Zea mays: one gene and its partner. The protein of the gene in region 1 interacts with the protein of each later gene in a pairwise test. Links are inferred from orthologs where the notes say so. Each region holds a gene or a part of one and is shown on either strand. Other genes may lie near its edges. The genes, in order: myb2 and BCAS2 protein.

Region 1 (10,016 bases):
GTGGTAGCGGTTGCGTGCGCAGGCCCAAAATCTTGAACCTGCGCAGCAACCAAAATTCAGTACAACATCCAAAAATCCCTCAACCCTAAACACCACCTACGCCACCTGCGAAGGCCCGGCCGCTGCGGGAGCCTCCGCCGCTGCCTCTGCTGGATCCTCAGCGCTCGGCACAGTAGCTGCGGGGGCATCTGGCGCGCCTTCGGCCACCTTTGGGGGAAGGTCTTCGCCGGCCGCGGCAGATGCAGGAGCGCCCGGTGCATCTTCCGCAGTCTCCGGGGTAGGTCCCGGGGCGACTCCAGTCGCGGCCTCCGCAGGGGTCGTCTCCGACTCAGGCAGCTCGCTGTTCAGCGCCCCGAAATCGTCCACCCGCTCGCCGCGCTCCGCCTAAAACAAAACGCACAAAAACTCAGCAAACACACGCACAGACCGCATCCAGCACACGCCGGGCAAACGACAGCGTTACCTGAGCCCTCGCAGCCTCGGCCCGCGCCCGGACCACCTCACGACCGTATGAACCCCACATCCGGTCATAGAGGGCCCCGGCGGATTCTTTCACCACGGGGTCTTCGACCTCAAAGATATCACGCCCAAAATCCTCATCCACCTAGTCGAGGGCCTCAAAGTGCCGGCAGCCTTCGCGAGAGAGCGCGTTCATCGCTGCCTCGCAGGTGACCAGGGAGGTGAACGCCATCAACCCCGCCAAGACAGTGGGGAGCTCCTGCAGTTCCTCCTGCACCCATTCCAGACAGCGAAGCCCGGCCTCTCGCTCCGGCACCTCGAAGTCACCCGTCCGCACACCCAGCTCGCGATATGAAGTCATGAGCTGCGTGCGCGTCCGTTCGGCCTCCGCTCGCATCGCGGCCTCGGCCCCCTCCGCGCGGCTCTCCTGGGCAGTAAGCCGCCGCTGCAGCTCTCCGGCAAGCTCCTTGGCGATATTGCCTTCCGCCCGCGCCAACCTGGCCTCCGCCTGCGCAGCCTGCTCTTTGGCGATGGCTTCATTGGCCTCCCTCCTCTCCCCCGCCAGCTGGCGCCGGAGGTCAGCCTTCTCCTTCTCAAGGACGGCCACCTTCTCCGCCAGTTTGCGGCACTTGCTGTCGGAGGCCGACTTCTCACGGACAGCGTCCGCATGTTGCGTCCGAAGTCTCTCGACCTCGGCAGACAACGCTGCCGTAAGGGCCCCCGACGCAGTGCGGCTGGTGAAGTCAGCCACCTGCAGAACACACGTAAGGTCGTTGCGTAAAAAAAAAAGAAAAGAAAAAAAGAAAAAAATGTATAGCTCGGCGGACCTGACTCAGCGCCTCCGTCGCTCGACTCAGCGCCTCCGTCGCTCCCTTCAGCCGACGGGTCGCCACGCCCGCCTCGTCTCTGACCAGCGCGAGGGCAGACACCTCGCCTCCGGCGCCAAGGGTCTCTCCCCCCGCTTTCGGCGCTGGCGCAGCCGTCGCGATCGCCGCGCCAGGCACAACTAGAGCAAGCGGGCCCTCGTCCGACCCTGCAACGCGTCAACAATTAAAAAAAAAAGAAAAAAAAAGAGGTATATATATTCATATATACTTACCCCCAAGATAGTCGTCCACATCAATCTCGGTGCCGAAGTCGGCAACGCGCTTGCTAGGCAGCGGTAGCGATCGGGCCGCCTTCGCAGCCTCCGCCACCCCGCTGGCAGACGGCACCACCTTCGACAGCTTGGGGCCTCCGGCGCCCACCGTCGTCTCCGGCGCCTTGCCAGGCGCGGAGGCGCCCACCTTCGTCGGCAGCGGCGGCTTGCCTCCGCCAGAGGCCTCAGCCTTCGCCGTTCCCCGATGCCTTTTCGGCCGGGCTTCGTGAACCCTCACAGTCGCCTGGCGTTTTCGCGCCGCGCCTTGGCGATCCTTGTCCATCACTGCCCACACAACATGACCGATATTTCGCCCATAAGGAAAAACTTTCCACCGATGAACCATACGAGATGTAAAACAGTCCTCCTCAGCCGCGCAGGGGATAGGAATGTTTTTAGGCCAACAACCCCCGGTAACCCTCAGCATCCGAGCCGAAGACTCCCGGAGCTCGGGCGAAGACATCCTCTCCCCCGGGGCCGCACACGTCCTCATTAAATCTCTAGCGAAACTATCAGACACCCCAAGTCTTCCCATCGCAGTACCTAATTTTCTCTTTTTCGAGGAGGCGGCGGCCACCAGCGCAGGGTCGCCTCCAGTCTCCACCGCCGGCTTCTTCCCACGGCGGTCCGCTTCGTCTTGTCCAGGGTAACCGTCGTACGGCAGTTGATTTAATTCGAATACCCTGTTCAAGCGTTCATTTGACCCGCGGATGTCAAAGCTGCGCTGGCCTTCCGTCCTCGGCACGTAACGCCCCACGAGCCGCACCGTCAAGCCCTCCGCATCACGCACAAAGGCGGCCGGGTCACGGTTTCGCAAATTCAGTGCGAAGGCAGGGCTTCGCACCACCCTTCCTCCGTGAAAGGGCATCTGGCGAGGGCATACTTCGCCCAGCGCCCAGCCGTGCGCCAAGGGCCAGACCCCGTACGCCACGAACTCTTCAACTAAATCTCGACCGCTGCTCTGACCGGCGGCGCACCGAAGGGCCCCTTCGTCTGCATCCTCTTCTGCCACTTCATAAGGTGGATACGCAGAGTAATAGTGAGAGCACATTAAGGACACGGGGAGCCCTTCATGGCCTTCGACAGTAGCCTCAGCAACATAAAACCAAAATTCATTCCAATTGCCCCACTTGTTGCGGGCGCACGGGACCAACTCCACTACTGGCATTGTGGTCTTGCCGGTCTTCGGCGTGAATGTACATGACCCGAACTGGGCAATTCCGTCCTCAACCATCCTTTTCTGCCAATGCAAACAATAATTCTTCGCAAAAACTTCAACCGATGGCTGTCCGCCGTACGAAGTCGTCGCCCAGACATACTTCGCCAGCGCCACTATGGCGTTCGGTGTCAGCTGATGTATTTGAACGCTGAATCTACGCAGGACTTCGCTGACAAAACGGTGCGCCGGCAAGCGGAGTCCGGCGACGAAGAACGCCTCGAAAACAACCAACTCGCCCTCCGGCTCGGGGACTTCCTCCGTCCCCGGAGCACGGGCGACCCCGCCGCCAAAGTAGCCCAACCGCTGCATATCTTCAATGCGGGCTGACGTCATCCGTGACACACCAAATTCAACAGAGTCGCCGGCGCGCAACTCCTCCACCTCCACGTTACTCAACGTCTCCTCAGACGAGGCGGCGGCCGGCGACGCGGCGTCGGCGGAGGAAGAAGAGGATGGCATTGCTACGTACCGTCGTCGGCGGCGGGCGGTCTGCTTCACTCGAGCCAGAACGCCGGCGAGTTAAGGGAGCAGCGGAGGAAAAGGAGCAGCAAGACGACGGGCGGCTAGGGTTTTACGGAGCGCGGAAGGCAGAGTTCAAAAAGCGCCGCCCCCGCCCCCCTTTTATAGGCGGGGCGCGGCTCTTCGGGAAACCCGCAATCCGACAGGCCGCGACGCTTCGGGAAACCCGCAATCCAACAGTACGCCGTCCATCAACGGTCACATCAAAAACCCCCGCGGAACCACTTCGAGCGAGGGCAGCGTCTCCGCCATCTAGCGACGTCTTCGGCACCAGGTGACTTTGTCGAACTGGTCCCTCGGAGGGCAAATGTTGGGGCGAAGGCAAAGACGCCACCCTTCGCTCGAGGCCTTCGCTGCAGCCGCTGGTCCGACAGAGACAAAGCGGGCAGGGACACCCTTCGCAAGACTCGGCACGTTGACGAAGGCCTGCGGCGACGTCCTACCACGGCGCGTCCTCGTTCAGTCCCAAGGCCCACGTGCGATCTGGCCCATTGTAACGGGCCCCGCGTGGCCGCCTCTGTATTACGGGCCTGACTTGTAAAGGAGTACTTGTAATTACGGTCTGTAACCCTGCTTTATGGGAATATTCTGGGGATAAAATAGGTGTCTGAGGGCACATGCGTCCTTAACACAAGACGCTGGGCACTCAGATACCTATAAATACCCCCGCACAGTGCCCGTGAGGGGCTAGATCAACAGTGCTATTGCCCCCGTGCACGTAACCCTGTTGTCACCACCGTTCACTCTTGTTGGCCTTCTTGCTGCAGAGAGCAAGTTACAACAGGCGGCATCCGGCGGCGAGGTGTCGCTCGACCTCGACCTGGAGATGGAGGAGCTCGGCAGGACGACGCAGCTGCGCTCGCACCCGTCCTTCTCCAGCTCGCTCGAGAGGGACGACCGCGTGTCGTTGCAGGAACCCCATAAGAGTCACTCCACCTCCTCCTGTTCCTCCGATTCTGACACCGACGACGGCCGGAAGCGCCACGACGACGACGGTGAGGTTGTCCGGTGCACGTCTTCGTCTACCGCAGCGGGAACGAGGTCGTCTTGCAGTGGCTCGGCTTGTTCCTCACAGTCTCAGCAAAATCGATATCTACTGACGGACGACGACGGATTCGAAACGTAGGCGGCCTAATGATTCTCCTCAGCGGCTAATCAAGATTTTGAGTCTATTTCGTCGGATAGATGTCCTCTGTTTTTCCATATCCTCGAATCTCTCTCTCAACGCCTCCGTTTCGATGAAGCGGAATGTGTCGTATTTTATAATGACAAAAATCTCTCTAGGACTGGGCCTGCTCCTACTAAGACGGCCTTCGCTCTCTCGGGCCTGATGGGCTGTTCAGAGATGAACGAGCGCAAATGGAGCCCACTTCAGCTATCGTTCTTTGGGCCTTGAAACTGTCGACGATACCTGTCATCGTAAGCAACAGAACCCAAACCTCGCCGATTCGCTCCCCTTCCTCACCGCGCGCGTACGCCGCCGCCGCGCTCACCTCACCGAACCCTAAACCTGAGCCACCGCCCTCCCCCGGAGGTCCGCCGCTCCGTGTGGGACTCTAGGCGTCGCCGGAGCCCCCTCCAGGGGCTAGCGGCGGAGGAAGTCGGAAACCGATTACCCCTCCCCTCCCCTTACCGGGGGAGGGAGAAACTAGCGGAGGAGGCGAATCAGGTCAGAGTGGGGCACGATGAGGATCATGATCAAGGGAGGCGTGTGGAAGAACACGGAGGACGAGATCCTCAAGGCGGCCGTGATGAAGTACGGCAAGAACCAGTGGGCGCGCATCTCGTCGCTGCTCGTCCGCAAGTCCGCCAAGCAGTGCAAGGCCCGCTGGTATGAGTGGCTCGATCCGTCCATCAAGAAGGTAACCGACTGCTCGCCTCTCTTACGGTTCTGTCTTCCTCTCTCGGCAGACTAGCCTCACTGCCCGGTCGCCGTTCTATCACTGATTTTCGCTTTGCTTGGAGTGTCGTTCTCCTAAAGATCTAGCTGCCACGTTTAGAACACTGTCTTTTTCTTTTTCTGAATCCTTCTGCACTGGGAAGCATGCAATTCATAATGAGAGGGTAACTGTCACTGGATGGTTTCTTGTTCACTCAACAGTACAGATGTGGTTATTAAGGATTCTGGAGTGGCGAGTTCGTTTGAATTAAACTTTTAAGAAGCTCAGCACATTCTGCCGAGAAAGTGGAAAGCACTACAAGTCAATAAGTGATTTCCTTTCCTATGAAATCTTGCATGCTTAATGCATGACCTAATTCTTAGCAGTTTTGGTAACAATGTCCCCTGCATGCTAAAAGAGAAAAAAATGTTTGTCCTATGCATTTATGCATTGGAAGTTGGAACAACAGCAAGATTTATGCTCTATGAACTTTGATAGGTGTGCTGGTTATGAATTTTGGTAATATCAATCATTAGATGACTCTAAGTGTTATCAGCCGTTATCCTTTCACAAACATTCGAACTGGCAAACTTTAGAATCAGATAAAAGAATATCGTCTTTCAGCTTGAATATCTCGAGTTGCAAGTTGGCGGTAATACGAAATATTGACATCCTTACTTTAGTACTCCCTCCATCCCAAAATATAGTTCTTTCTAGCCTCCCATTTTTTCTGTCCACATTCATTCGAATGAATGTAGACAACTAGACATACATACAAACTACATTCATAGATTAATTCATTAATGTATGTTTAGTCTAAAACGAATTATATTTTGGGACAGTGGGAGTAGGTTATTGAATCTAATGCTTTCTGGAGCCAGATAATGAATTAATATCTTTTGCTTTTGTCTTGATAAGCATCCGTGTTTATATCGTTATATACATTATTATCTATTGATTCTGAAGGGCAGTCCTGGTGTAGTGGTGAGATATGTCTCACTGAGTCACCAGGTCGTTGGTTCGAAGCAGTTTCTTCGCATTGGGGCGGGGGGAGGCTTGCCTCGGTTGGGTCTGCCCTTCTTCTTATATCCTATGGATTCAACATCATCTAATAACATTTAATATTTCTACTAGCTAGATAACATACATTTCAACATAGATATTAACTGAATGAAAGTTTTTACAGTCTAGTGGTAACTAAATATAACTGGACTAAGCACCTGAATCATTTTTCTTGCCAAAAGAGAAACTTTGCACTGTTTAAGTAAAATTTGATAGTTTGGTTGCGCGAAATGTCTATAGCAGATGTTAACTTCTTCATAAAGTTGATTTTGAATGTAGAAGGTTTGGTCCACTGGGAAGTTACTTTATTTTATCTGAAATTCTGAATTATGTTGAAGGACAGCTCTTTTCACTGGACTTGGTTATTCAGAGTGGTGTACTTAACCAGGAACAACTAACCCTAGCTACTGTGTCGTGATCAGTTGCATGTCACTTTTACAGTTAGGTTCTCAGTTACTAAATAGGTTTATTAGCAACAGCAGTTTCATGCTGACTACCTGTTGTAATCTGTCTAAAATTTATCACACTGTGAAAATGCACCTAGGTAGCCTTTTAAGTTTGAATGAATAAGCTAAACTGGCTGATTCAACATTTCAACACTTAATTTGGTCAGGTGAGTTCGAATTTTACCTTATCTAGTCTTGATGTATTTAATTAGAAGAGCAGGGTGAAATATGAGCATTAGGTAATGGAACATTAACATGCTATAGTTATGAAAGGGTCTACTTATCTTGTTTTGGAGCTGGTTAGCTTCTGGAAAAATTTTAGTGTCTACAGATTTGTAGTTATTACTGTGTAAATGATTGGTTATTACTGGCTTCTAGCATGCAGCTTTTTTGGCAGATGTCAAATTTTTTAATTGACAATAGTTTCTTGGCAACCTAGAGCTATTGAACTTTTCACGCTTTAATATATTTATGAGATGAATGTCCGCTCTAAGTTTATCATTTGATAGTTTGTATGATGAATAAAATCAATACAAACTATGTTAGCATTTTCATCATTGTATTGATACAACTTGGAATGTTACTAGCCACTACAAATCATATTTAGAAGCAGTGCATTACTGATGTTTAGAAGAACTATTGTCTCTATTTTTTTTATTTCTTCCTGTCAATATTCAGAATTTGCTTCTTAAAAATAGAAGACAAAGCCGTCCAGTTTCCTCTTTGAATATTTGGTTGTGTCCAGAATGTTGCTATGGATCTGATTGGTCAAGCAATTAACGCCTTTTCTTCATTGATGGAATGTGGACCCATGTTGTTAAAAGTATAATGTAGTAATTAAATGTCTTTTGTTTGTTAACACAGGCTCTTAATCTAAATGAATGTGTGATACACTAGTACTTGTAATAAGGTGTTTGGTTACTGTACGGCGGGCACTATCATCTAATTTTTAACTTCAGTGAAGTTCTCTGAAATCACATCATCTGCAATGTTTTGACATGAATGGTTTAAAAAACCCATAACCTTCAAAATAGTTCTTTCATTGGTCATTTGCTCTATTATGGGCTTATGGCATAGGTCTTTCTTGTTTGTCACCAAGATGATTGTTTATTGTTTCTCTCACTGTGCTAACTCATCTATGTTAATTTCAGACCGAGTGGACAAGGGAGGAGGATGAGAAATTACTTCATCTTGCTAAACTCATGCCTACTCAGTGGAGGACAATTGCACCTATTGTAGGTCGAACACCATCTCAGTGTCTTGAACGTTATGAAAAGCTGCTTGACGCCGCATGTGCAAAGGATGAAAATTATGAGGCTAATGATGATCCTAGGAAGCTGCGGCCTGGCGAGATTGACCCAAACCCTGAGTCAAAGCCCGCACGTCCTGATCCTGTTGATATGGATGAAGATGAAAAAGAAATGCTTTCTGAGGCTAGGGCCCGCTTAGCTAACACTAGGGGTAAAAAGGCCAAACGGAAGGCAAGGGAGAAACAACTTGAAGAAGCAAGAAGGCTTGCTTCACTACAAAAAAGGAGAGAATTGAAGGCAGCTGGTATTGATACACGCCACAGAAAAAGAAAGAGAAAGGGGATTGACTACAATGCTGAGATTCCATTTGAAAAGAGACCACCTTCAGGTTTTTATGATACTGTTGGTGAAGACAGACCACCTGAACATGTACAGTTTCCAACAACCATTGAGGAGCTTGAAGGGAAGAGAAGAGCAGATATAGAGGCACAATTAAGAAAACAGGATATTGCCAGGAACAAGATCCTGCAGCGACAGGATGCCCCTGCTGCTATAATGCAAGCGAATAAACTAAATGATCCAGAAGCTGTCACAAAGAGGTCAAAGCTAATGCTGCCGCCTCCTCAAATTTCTGACCACGAGCTAGAGGAGATAGCAAAGATGGGCAGTGCTGGTGATCCTGCTTTAGCTGATGAGCTTGGTGAAGGAAGCACTGCCACAAGAACCTTGCTTGCCAGCTATTCTCAGACTCCAAGGCTTGGTATGACACCATTGCGAACTCCGCAGCGAACTCCAGCTGGGAAGGGTGATGCAATCATGATGGAGGCAGAAAATCTTGCACGTCTCAGAGAATCACAAACACCTCTATTAGGAGGTGATAACCCAGAGCTTCATCCATCAGATTTCTCTGGTGTTACACCACGCAAGAAGGAGATACAGACTCCAAATCCAATGGCAACACCTTTAGCAAGCCCTGGCCCTGGTATTACTCCAAGGATTAGTATGACACCATCCAGAGAGGGGCACAGCTTTGGTTTAACACCGAAAGCAACTCCTCTTCGTGATGAACTTAACATAAATGAAGTGGAAATGCAGGACAACACTAAACTTGAGCTTCGTAGGCAAGCCGAACTGAGGAAAAGCCTGCGATCTGGTTTTGCTTCTATTCCACAACCAAAGAATGAGTACCAGATAGTCATGCCACCTATTACGGAAGATGAGAAAGAAGAAGCTGAAGAGAAAATTGAAGAGGACATGTCAGACAGACTGGCACGAGAAAGGGCTGAGGAACAAGCTAGGCATGAGGCATTGCTCAGAAAGAGATCCAAAGTGTTGCAGAGGAGTCTGCCTAGGCCACCGGCTGTTTCAGTAGAGATTATCCGGCAATCTCTTATTAGAAGTGGAGAAAGCAGAAGCAGAAGCACCTTTATGCCTCCTACATCACTTGAACAAGCTGATGAACTAATAAATGAGGAACTCCTTAGGCTTCTTGAGCATGATAATGCAAAATATCCTCTTGATGAAAAAACTCAAAAAGAGAAAAAGAAAGGAAGCAAGCGTCAGCAAAATGGAGGACCTCTTGTCCCTGAAATTGATGATTTTGATGAAGATGAACTAAAAGAGGTGCTATTCTTTTTCTTCATCCTCTTTATTTGTATTAGAATATTCATGATGAACTGTATCTCTTTCCTGATAGTTTCGTCATTATTTAATTAGACCCCACCACATGCACAGTTTCATGGAACTATTTGGATAAACTGTAACTTGAGAGGCTATGCGCACATCTTCCTGTATCTCAATGACATGACACTGTTCATTATTTGCAGTACTTAATTACAAATTACATTGAGTTAATTGAACTGAGGTCAACTGGCATTTTGATTTAATAGCAAATACATAGATTTACATGAGTAATATCCTGTAAGGCAGAGGTCATAGTTAAAATAAATTATTGAAATTTCTGGTACACAAAATTTGAACATATTTTCCCTGATTGACTGTCATTTTTAGGTTGCAGCTGTAGGCTGTAGTTGCATGCTAGTC
Region 2 (8,052 bases), about 120 Mb from region 1:
CCTGCCCCCTGTTCCCACCGCCGGATTCGAGGTACAGTTGCAGAGATTTCTTAGCCCCAAAGGTATATTGGGGAGTAGCTCGAACCCATTACGTTTTCTCCGCGGATGTTAGGGGCTTAGCATAAGGTTGCAGCTTCGTCGATGTTAGCAGGTGCGATCTGCGTTTAGGGTTCAAAGGAGGGTCGTGCGGGAGCTAGGGTTTGCAGTTGTAGAGGTCACAGTGAACCAAGTTAGCTGGATGGATTATAAATATATGTTTTCGTTATTTAGATTTTGTGGAGCTCTAAGGCTGAATCCAACCATTCCCCCTCTCAAATCCCCCTATTCACATTCTCTATTCATATTTAAATACCTCCCTCTTCCCTCTATTAAATTGGTTGGAGACCGCCTAAGTAAATTAACTTGGTTGGGTCAATGTATCTCTGCATTGTTTAGACTTTATAACTAATTAACTATTGCATATGAAATTGAAGTTTTAGTTGACAACCCCTTTACATTTTACCTGCGAACCATTTAGGGGGTGTTTGGTTTCTAGGGACTAATTTTTAGTCCCTACATTTTATTCCACTTTAGTTACAAAATTATCAAATATAGAAACTAAAACTCTATTTTAGTTTCTATATTTGTCAATTTATATACTAAAATGGAACAAAATGAAGGGACTAAACATTAGTCCCTAGAAACCAAACACCCCCTTAATTGGGTTGTATAATAGGTATAACATCTAACAGTCACAGTTTTGTGATCCGTTTCTGTAACAGTGCATGTTAAGCTGGGGCATCATGCTCTTGTAGTCTGTCTTTTGTTACAGTACTTTAGATGGACATCCTGCACAGATCAAGGATTTTTGTGCTAGATGTTTACTTCGGGCTCAGATAAAGGAATAATGCTCAGAAAAGGACCTGCTTATGCTTTTATTAGTTCGATGGATTGATTGATGTTTACTTCTGATGGATTTGAGGTTACACCTCATCTGGTCATGACACTGAGGTCTGAGGATCAAGCATTGACCATTTATGATGAAGTATGCATCTCTAATTGAAATTCAATATTGAAACATGACTTGGAAGTTTTTAACAGAATATTCTGTACTATTTAGTGAGCACTGTTATTAAACTTGGACCTTGTGAAGCTACTATCTTCTTTTTCATGTATTTCAATTCCATAGTCCATAGATATCTTAGATATACTTGATTTTTAACTATTGTGTCATATCAAAACCGGAACCTTGATCTGAATCAAGAAATCCGCAGGTTTTGACTGTTTGAAAATCTATGTGTGGTGTAATTAACGTAAAGTATGCTATCATTTTTTGTTTCAGAATCATCCTATGCTTTCTAAAGAATATGAACGTGTTAGGGCTGGCAAACCTCCTTTTATGCTAGATATGTCTCGCTATGGTTTGGAGCCACCTCCAATGAACAAGAGGAATGATGTTGGCGCTTGGAGGCAGGCTCTACGGAATGCTCAGAGCCAGTTGCAGCATCAAATTATAAGGTAAGTCAAGGTATTATTTTTGGTGCATCAGGGGTTATGTATTCACATTCTATAACATAGATGCCTATTTGCAGAACTGTGTGTCTATGTAGAAACTAAGTAAAGCATTTTTGTGACAGCTACAAGTTTATAGCTTGTATAATAATGAATATGGCTTGCACTGTTGTTTAGCGTGATGTGAAAAAAATCTTAACTCTAACGTATGTACTGATAAGCTGCCATAACCATTCCTGACATGCCATAGTCAGAATAGTGCCCTTGTTTCTCCACAAATGCATAAAATCTGCTGCATGCTGAGTTAATGAACTTTTTCTCTGCGTAGTTGCATTTTCTACCCCATTTAATATAAAGGTCACAAGTTCACGATGCCTATATTTTTATTACTCTCTTCAATGATTTCTGTAGGGCAATTTTGAATTTGACCATTCATTTCTGTAATTTATATGTTTTGATAAGTGATAACTATGAAATGACAGCCATAATATTATAATCTAACAGTACATTATTTTTGTCATTAAACCTGCATGTTATTTTTAGTAAATGTATTCAAATTTCAAATCTTGAAACTTTCATGCCTCATAAAAGTGATGAATAAAAGGAAAAGCCATTACTGTTACTCTATTGCTGGACAAACCTTTATCTGTTTTTCTGTTTATGATAAATAGAAATTTATTGGTGCCTTATTTTGAAAATATGTTTTGAAACAGTGCTAGTATTGCAGGATAGAGAATCTCGAGCTTATGCTGAAATATGGCGTAGATGTTTGGAAGCTCCAGAACAGACAAATGGAATCAGTTCTGTCTAGGTAAGTTAATGTCTATGTGGTCCTTGACAATGTCGTGTCTCTTCTTTCTTGCCTTCCATTTAGAACACGGCCTGTTTGGTGCCATGCTGGCTATGGCTCCATTGGCAGCTTCGGCGTCGGAGGCTGGAGCCGGAGTTGCACCAAACAGCCAGGAGAGGAGAAACGCTTCTGCACCTGTGGAAGAGGAACTGGGGCTGTTTTACATGTATGGATGCGAAGCTGGTTTCCGGGGCTCCCGCTCCGGCAACAGAGTGCCTGCGGAGGAACCGCACTAAATGTGCCCTTAGTTTGGTTTACGGATTGCACTATCAGTTATTGGGAAGCGACAAAAAATGATGTATCTAAATCATATTTTGTTGATCTTATGTGTGATATGTCAGTGATAGTGCGAGCTTAGATGTCCACTGAAGCACTCTACATGTTTTATAGGTTTAAAATATTACCAATCAGTGTCACACTTATATGGATTTGAGACATGATCTGCCATCTTATATGCAGGATGCAAAAGATGGCTGTAGAATACAATGAAAGGATAGAAAATGTCAATCGCGAGAGGAAGTTCCACCAGGTTATAAGCATTGATCTCTTTATTTGGAAGTTTGAGTCATGATAATATTTCATTGTCAGCTCATAATTTGTTTTTTAATCAGCAAAATACTGGAGGACAGCTGCATGCCCTGAAAATGGAATGGCAGGAGCTGTGTCAAAAAAATATAGCTATTCAGGCTGCTTGTGTTGACCTGCAGAATCATATTGATCAGCTTAAACTTGAAGCAAAAGAACTGTACGTGTACTCTCTTCTTCCCCCCTCCCTCTCCCTAGGCCTGTTCATAGTCTGGTTACAACCCAGCCCAACCCAGGAAGACCATAGCAAACCGCACATAGAGGCAATGTACATGCTGGTTTGCATCGTGTCCAAACCACTTAACCCGTGGGTTCATCTTCTTCCTGCTGTCGGTGCACCTTCCTATCTTATTGAAGTTGCTGATACCGGTCCTGCCAATTGAGTAAAGAAACTGCAGCCGCTACCTTGACAATCCTGCCTTCCCATCTCATCTGTGCTGCCTCTTCGTGCCGTCCGGGTCCGGCGTCCATGACTGGCTGCCGCTGATCATCTACTTCCACGGAGGCGGATATGTCCTCTTCCGTGTGGCCTACGATCTGTTGTACGACACCTGCATGGCGCTCACTGCCACCACCTTGGCTGTTGTCGTATCTGTGGGTACCAAACCGGAGGAGAATAGCTACGGCCTACGGGTTGGGGCGGGTTTACCCAGAAAATGTTTTAACCAGATCAGGCCGACCTTTCCATCTATACATATGAATCGTGATAGAATACTTGTTAACAGGGGAATGCCCATGGACGACAACTCAGGAACCGACCCACAAGCATCATGAGGATTTGAGGTACATTATGTGCCGTCCAGTTAAGTTGAGACGCCACGAGACAGCCATTGTTTCCGTTATGTTTACAAAATTATGCTGTTGCTACTACAGATACAGAGGTGGCAAGGAAGAAGCTACGCTTCATTTGAGTCTGGCAGCTGGACGTTTCATTAGCCATTGTGATTACCTGTCCTGCAATTGTCATATGGGACAGTCTGTTTGATATTGAAAACAATGTGGACTGTGCCTAGCAATCCCATGACCTGTGCTCCTGAAAACACCTCGCAGAGGAAGAATCTAAATTCGTGTATTGTTGTCCGTTGAAGTGCCCTAACTTGTGGCAAGAGAAATGCAGCTGATGTATGCAGACTCTCCAGTTGACATTGAGTTCTTACATGAAGCTTTTCTGTTTGATTTTCTGCTTGTTTCTGAAAATACCTTGTGCTTTGCCCTCTTCTGAACACGCTTACAAGTGTTTGCAGACAGTGCATTTCAAAAACCCGGGTTTTTTTTAAATCTGTATGTTTGAAAGCACTTGATGTGTCCATTTTAGATCCAACGGTAAACAAGTGACACTTCGAAATCGTACCTGGACGGCTCGTCCCCCGTTTCCGAGTTCCAAGTAGAGGACGTAGAGGTGGTAATGAATTAAGATCCAAATGTTTCTTAATAAAATGATAGTGCCTTAAATAAATTGTAGTTAAAAAATAAATAAAAATAAGACTTGATTTTAATTAGATCCTTAAATTTTATTGTAAAATTTAGATCATATTGTTACCCATATTCCAACTGTCACACTGCCACTGCAGAGCCACCACACCGCGCCTGCAGCTAGACTCCAAGAAGGAAATCTCCAGCGTCCAGCCCATAGTGAATCTCCCGGAGTCGCCCAAACCACAGCGACAACCATGGCCGCCGCCGCCTGCTATTCGCCAGCGCGCATCATCATCTCCTGCTCAGCCACCACCACCTCCTCATCGTCGTCAGCGCGCACGCTGCGCGTCGCCGTAGTGGGGGGTGGCCCCGCGGGCGCGTCGGCTGCCGAGGCGCTGGCCTCGGCGGGGGCCCGGACGTTCCTCCTCGAGCGCAGCCCCGCGGGCGCCAAGCCCTGCGGCGGTGCCATCCCACTCTGTATGCTGGACGAGTTCGCCATCCCGCGGGACCTCGTTGACCGCCGCGTCACCCGGATGCGCGTGCTCTCCCCCTCCAACCTCGCAGCCGACTTCTCCCGCGCGCTGCCCCCCGGGGCGCACATCCCCATGCTCCGCCGCGAGGTGCTCGACTCCTTCCTCCGCCGCCGCGCCGTCGAGGCCGGGGCCGAGCTCGTCCCGGGCCTCGTCACCTCGCTCTCGCTCCCCGCGGGGCCCGCCGACCCCTACCTCGTCCACTACATCTCGTCCTCCCCGGAGGGCGTGGGAGCGGGACGGAGCGTGCTGGAGGTGGACGCCATCGTCGGCGCGGACGGCGCCAACAGCCGCGTGGCGCGCGAGGTCGGGGCCGGGGACTACACGACGGCCATCGCGTTCCAGGAGCGCATCCGCCTCCCCGACGCCGGCATGGCGTACTACGACGACCTCGCCGAGATGTACGTGGGCGGGGACGTGTCCCCGGACTTCTACGGCTGGGTGTTCCCCAAGTGCGACCACGTGGCCGTCGGGACCGGCACCGTCGCCGCCAAGCCGGAGATCAAGCGCCTCCAGTCCGGCATCCGGGCGCGCGCGGGCCCCAAGATCGCCGGCGGCCGCGTAGTCAAGGTGGAGGCCCACCCGATCCCAGAGCACCCGCGCCCGCGCCGCGTCGTGGGGCGCGTGGCCCTAGTCGGCGACGCGGCGGGGTACGTCACGCGGTGCTCCGGCGAGGGCATCTACTTCGCGGCAAAGTCGGGGCGGCTGTGCGGGCAGGCCATGGCGGAGGAGTGGGCGCGCACGGGCTCCGTGACGGAGGCCGGGCTGAGGCGCGGCTACCTGCGGCGTTGGGACGACGAGTTCCTGCTCATGTTCCGGTTCCTGGACCTGCTGCAGCGCGTGTTCTACGGCGGGAATGCCGGCCGCGAGGCGCTGGTGGAGATGTGCTCCGACGACTACGTGCAGCGGCGGACGTTCGAAAGCTACCTGTACAAGCGGATGGTGCCTGGCGAGCCGTGGGGCGACCTCCGGCTGCTGTGGCGGACGGTGGCCAGCATGGTGCGCTGCGGCGTCATCGGCAGGGAGGTGGAGCGCCTGCGACGGCTGGAGCTGCAAGGCTAGATAGGAGCTTTGCTGAATAATAATAATGTAAGATGTGGCCGATTGACGTTGTCATCGTTTTCTCAATGCATTTTATACCCTTCCTTTGAAATTTGGTAAAGATCTTAAAACTTTGCCATGAATAAGCTGTGGTTAGGAACCGGATACATATCGAACTATACCCACAATGCGAATGTCAAGTGATAACCTTATCGTACAGCACAATTGCGATGCATTAAAATGAACTGAATTGCTCAGTAAACGATCTACCAGCGCTAATGGCCAATTACAGTGTCTTAACATCGGAACATGTATTGAGAGTAATCACGCAACATAAGTACAAAACAAAACCAGCTCTCTGAAAAGCCTACCAAAGAAATACAACACTTAAACATTCCAATGAAACAACAATCATCAAAATGACCATGGCTCCGTTTCTGCGGAAAATGCCTCACCATGTGCTCCGTGAAACCGCAGAAATATCCAATCAGGCCTGTGTTCATTGGTATGTCAGTGTGCCGCATGAGTACATGACAGTCTTGGTAATGCTAAGCAGCGAAAAAGGTCCGACTTATTTCAAAGATCATGGGAATGCTGATTAAACTACAATAATTTTGCAAACGAGTGTGTGGAGTTTGGTAATCAATACCTTGTTTGCAATGTTGTTCGAGAGCCAGTCAAGACCCTCGTACAAACCTATCTCCTGTGGTAGCACATGTGCTCTGGATATACCTACAAGTCACAGAGAAATCACATTAAAAGTTTTTAATGTCGGTAAAAATTATCAAACTATCAAGTTACCGTGCAATCAAACTATCGAGTCATGAAAAACTCTCGCGGGGGCATTTGGATACCTTCGTTTTAGGGAAATTAGAATTCACTTAATAAAGTAACCTATTTAGCTTTGAGTTTGACATTTCATCACTTTCCAAAGTTCAGATATAAGTCTATCTCAAATTCATGAGTGGGGCATGGGAAATGATTTTATGTATTACTAGAATTTGTTTTTACTCTGTAACTTACATGACGCTCTTCGGTTCACTTCTTTATAATAAAAATGGAGCACATAAATATCTCCGATATCTTACTAATAATAGTATACAAATATATTTTACATAAAATCAAATTAGCTTAATTGATATATACCTAAATTACTATTATTAGAATGAAATTCAATTCCAATGATCAAACGTGGCATTAATGTACACTTTTAAAAATAATTCATGTATAAGTAATTGAGTAACAACAATAATTGAGTTATATCTATAGATTTTAAGCCTTTTCACGTTGACCAGCAACAGAATATTTTATGAATCATTAGCTAAGTTAATTATTCAAAATAATTAGTATTGTATCTTAATTATTTTTATGCAAAATAAAGAATGAACCAATATTTGGATCGGGTGCGGGTCACCCACGGGTTAAAATAGAAACCCGCACCAACGCCCGCGAAACTTCGGGTCGGATGCGGGTTGCACCTGCGGGTCAAAACCTCCACCCATACCCGCACCTATCGTGTCGGGTACTGTCGGCGTTTCGACCCCGGGGGGTCCCTGGACCGACGAGTAAATTGTCGCCGCGTGTCCTAGCCCAGATGGGTCGGCGCGAGATGGAGCACAAAGGGGGGAGAAACGGCAAAGGGGAAACCCACGACCTTCGTGTTGTCCTGCGCCCAGGTCGGGTGCGCTTGCAGTAGGGGGGTTACAAGCATCCGCGTGGGAGAGAGAGAGAGAGAGGGAGCCCTGTGCGTCGGCCCGTTCTCCCGCGCGGCCAACCTTCTCGTACGAGAGCCCTGGACCTTCCTTTTATAGGCGTAAGGAGAGGGCCCAGGTGTACAATGGGGGGTGTAGCAGTGTGCTAACGTGTCTAGCAGAGAGGAGCTAGAGCCCTAAGTACATGCCGTCGTGGCAGCCGGAGAGGTTTTGGCGCCCTGTTCATGTGATGTCGTGGCCGTCGGAGGAGTGCTTGAGCCTTGTGGAAGTACAGCTGTCGGGGCTGTCGGATCCTTGCTGACGTCTCCTTGCTTCCGTAAGGGGCTGAGAGCCGCCGTCGTCATGGAGCACGCGGGGTGCCATCATTACTTGTTTACCGGGGCGAGCCAGATGGGACGCCGGTCTTGTCCCCCGCAGCCTGAGCTAT

The links.
Region 2: the proteins of myb2 (region 1) and BCAS2 protein interact in binary tests that used the Arabidopsis thaliana proteins (3 or more experiments, as listed by UniProt). The link is inferred for Zea mays from reciprocal best matches to the Arabidopsis thaliana genes CDC5 and MOS4.

The regions. Positions count from the first base shown.
Region 1 is NC_050098.1:159,738,947-159,748,962, forward strand, and holds the start of myb2, read left to right. Parts: upstream 1-4,845; 5' UTR 4,846-5,020; coding exon 5,021-5,197; intron 5,198-7,874; coding exon 7,875-9,596; intron 9,597-10,016. UniProt on the Arabidopsis thaliana protein: Component of the MAC complex that probably regulates defense responses through transcriptional control and thereby is essential for plant innate immunity. Possesses a sequence specific DNA sequence 'CTCAGCG' binding activity.
Region 2 is NC_050098.1:40,101,195-40,109,246, reverse strand, and holds the end of BCAS2 protein, read left to right. Parts: coding exon 1-31; intron 32-1,321; coding exon 1,322-1,497; intron 1,498-2,218; coding exon 2,219-2,302; intron 2,303-2,410; coding exon of another isoform or gene 2,411-2,699; exon of another isoform or gene 2,700-2,794; intron 2,795-2,800; coding exon 2,801-2,870; intron 2,871-2,952; coding exon 2,953-3,086; intron 3,087-3,651; coding exon 3,652-3,700; 3' UTR 3,701-3,709; exon of another isoform or gene 3,710-3,799; 3' UTR 3,800-4,118; downstream 4,119-8,052. Other genes in the region: geranylgeranyl diphosphate reductase, chloroplastic-like, read left to right, coding at 4,597-5,934. UniProt on the Arabidopsis thaliana protein: Component of the MAC complex that probably regulates defense responses through transcriptional control and thereby is essential for plant innate immunity. Involved in mRNA splicing.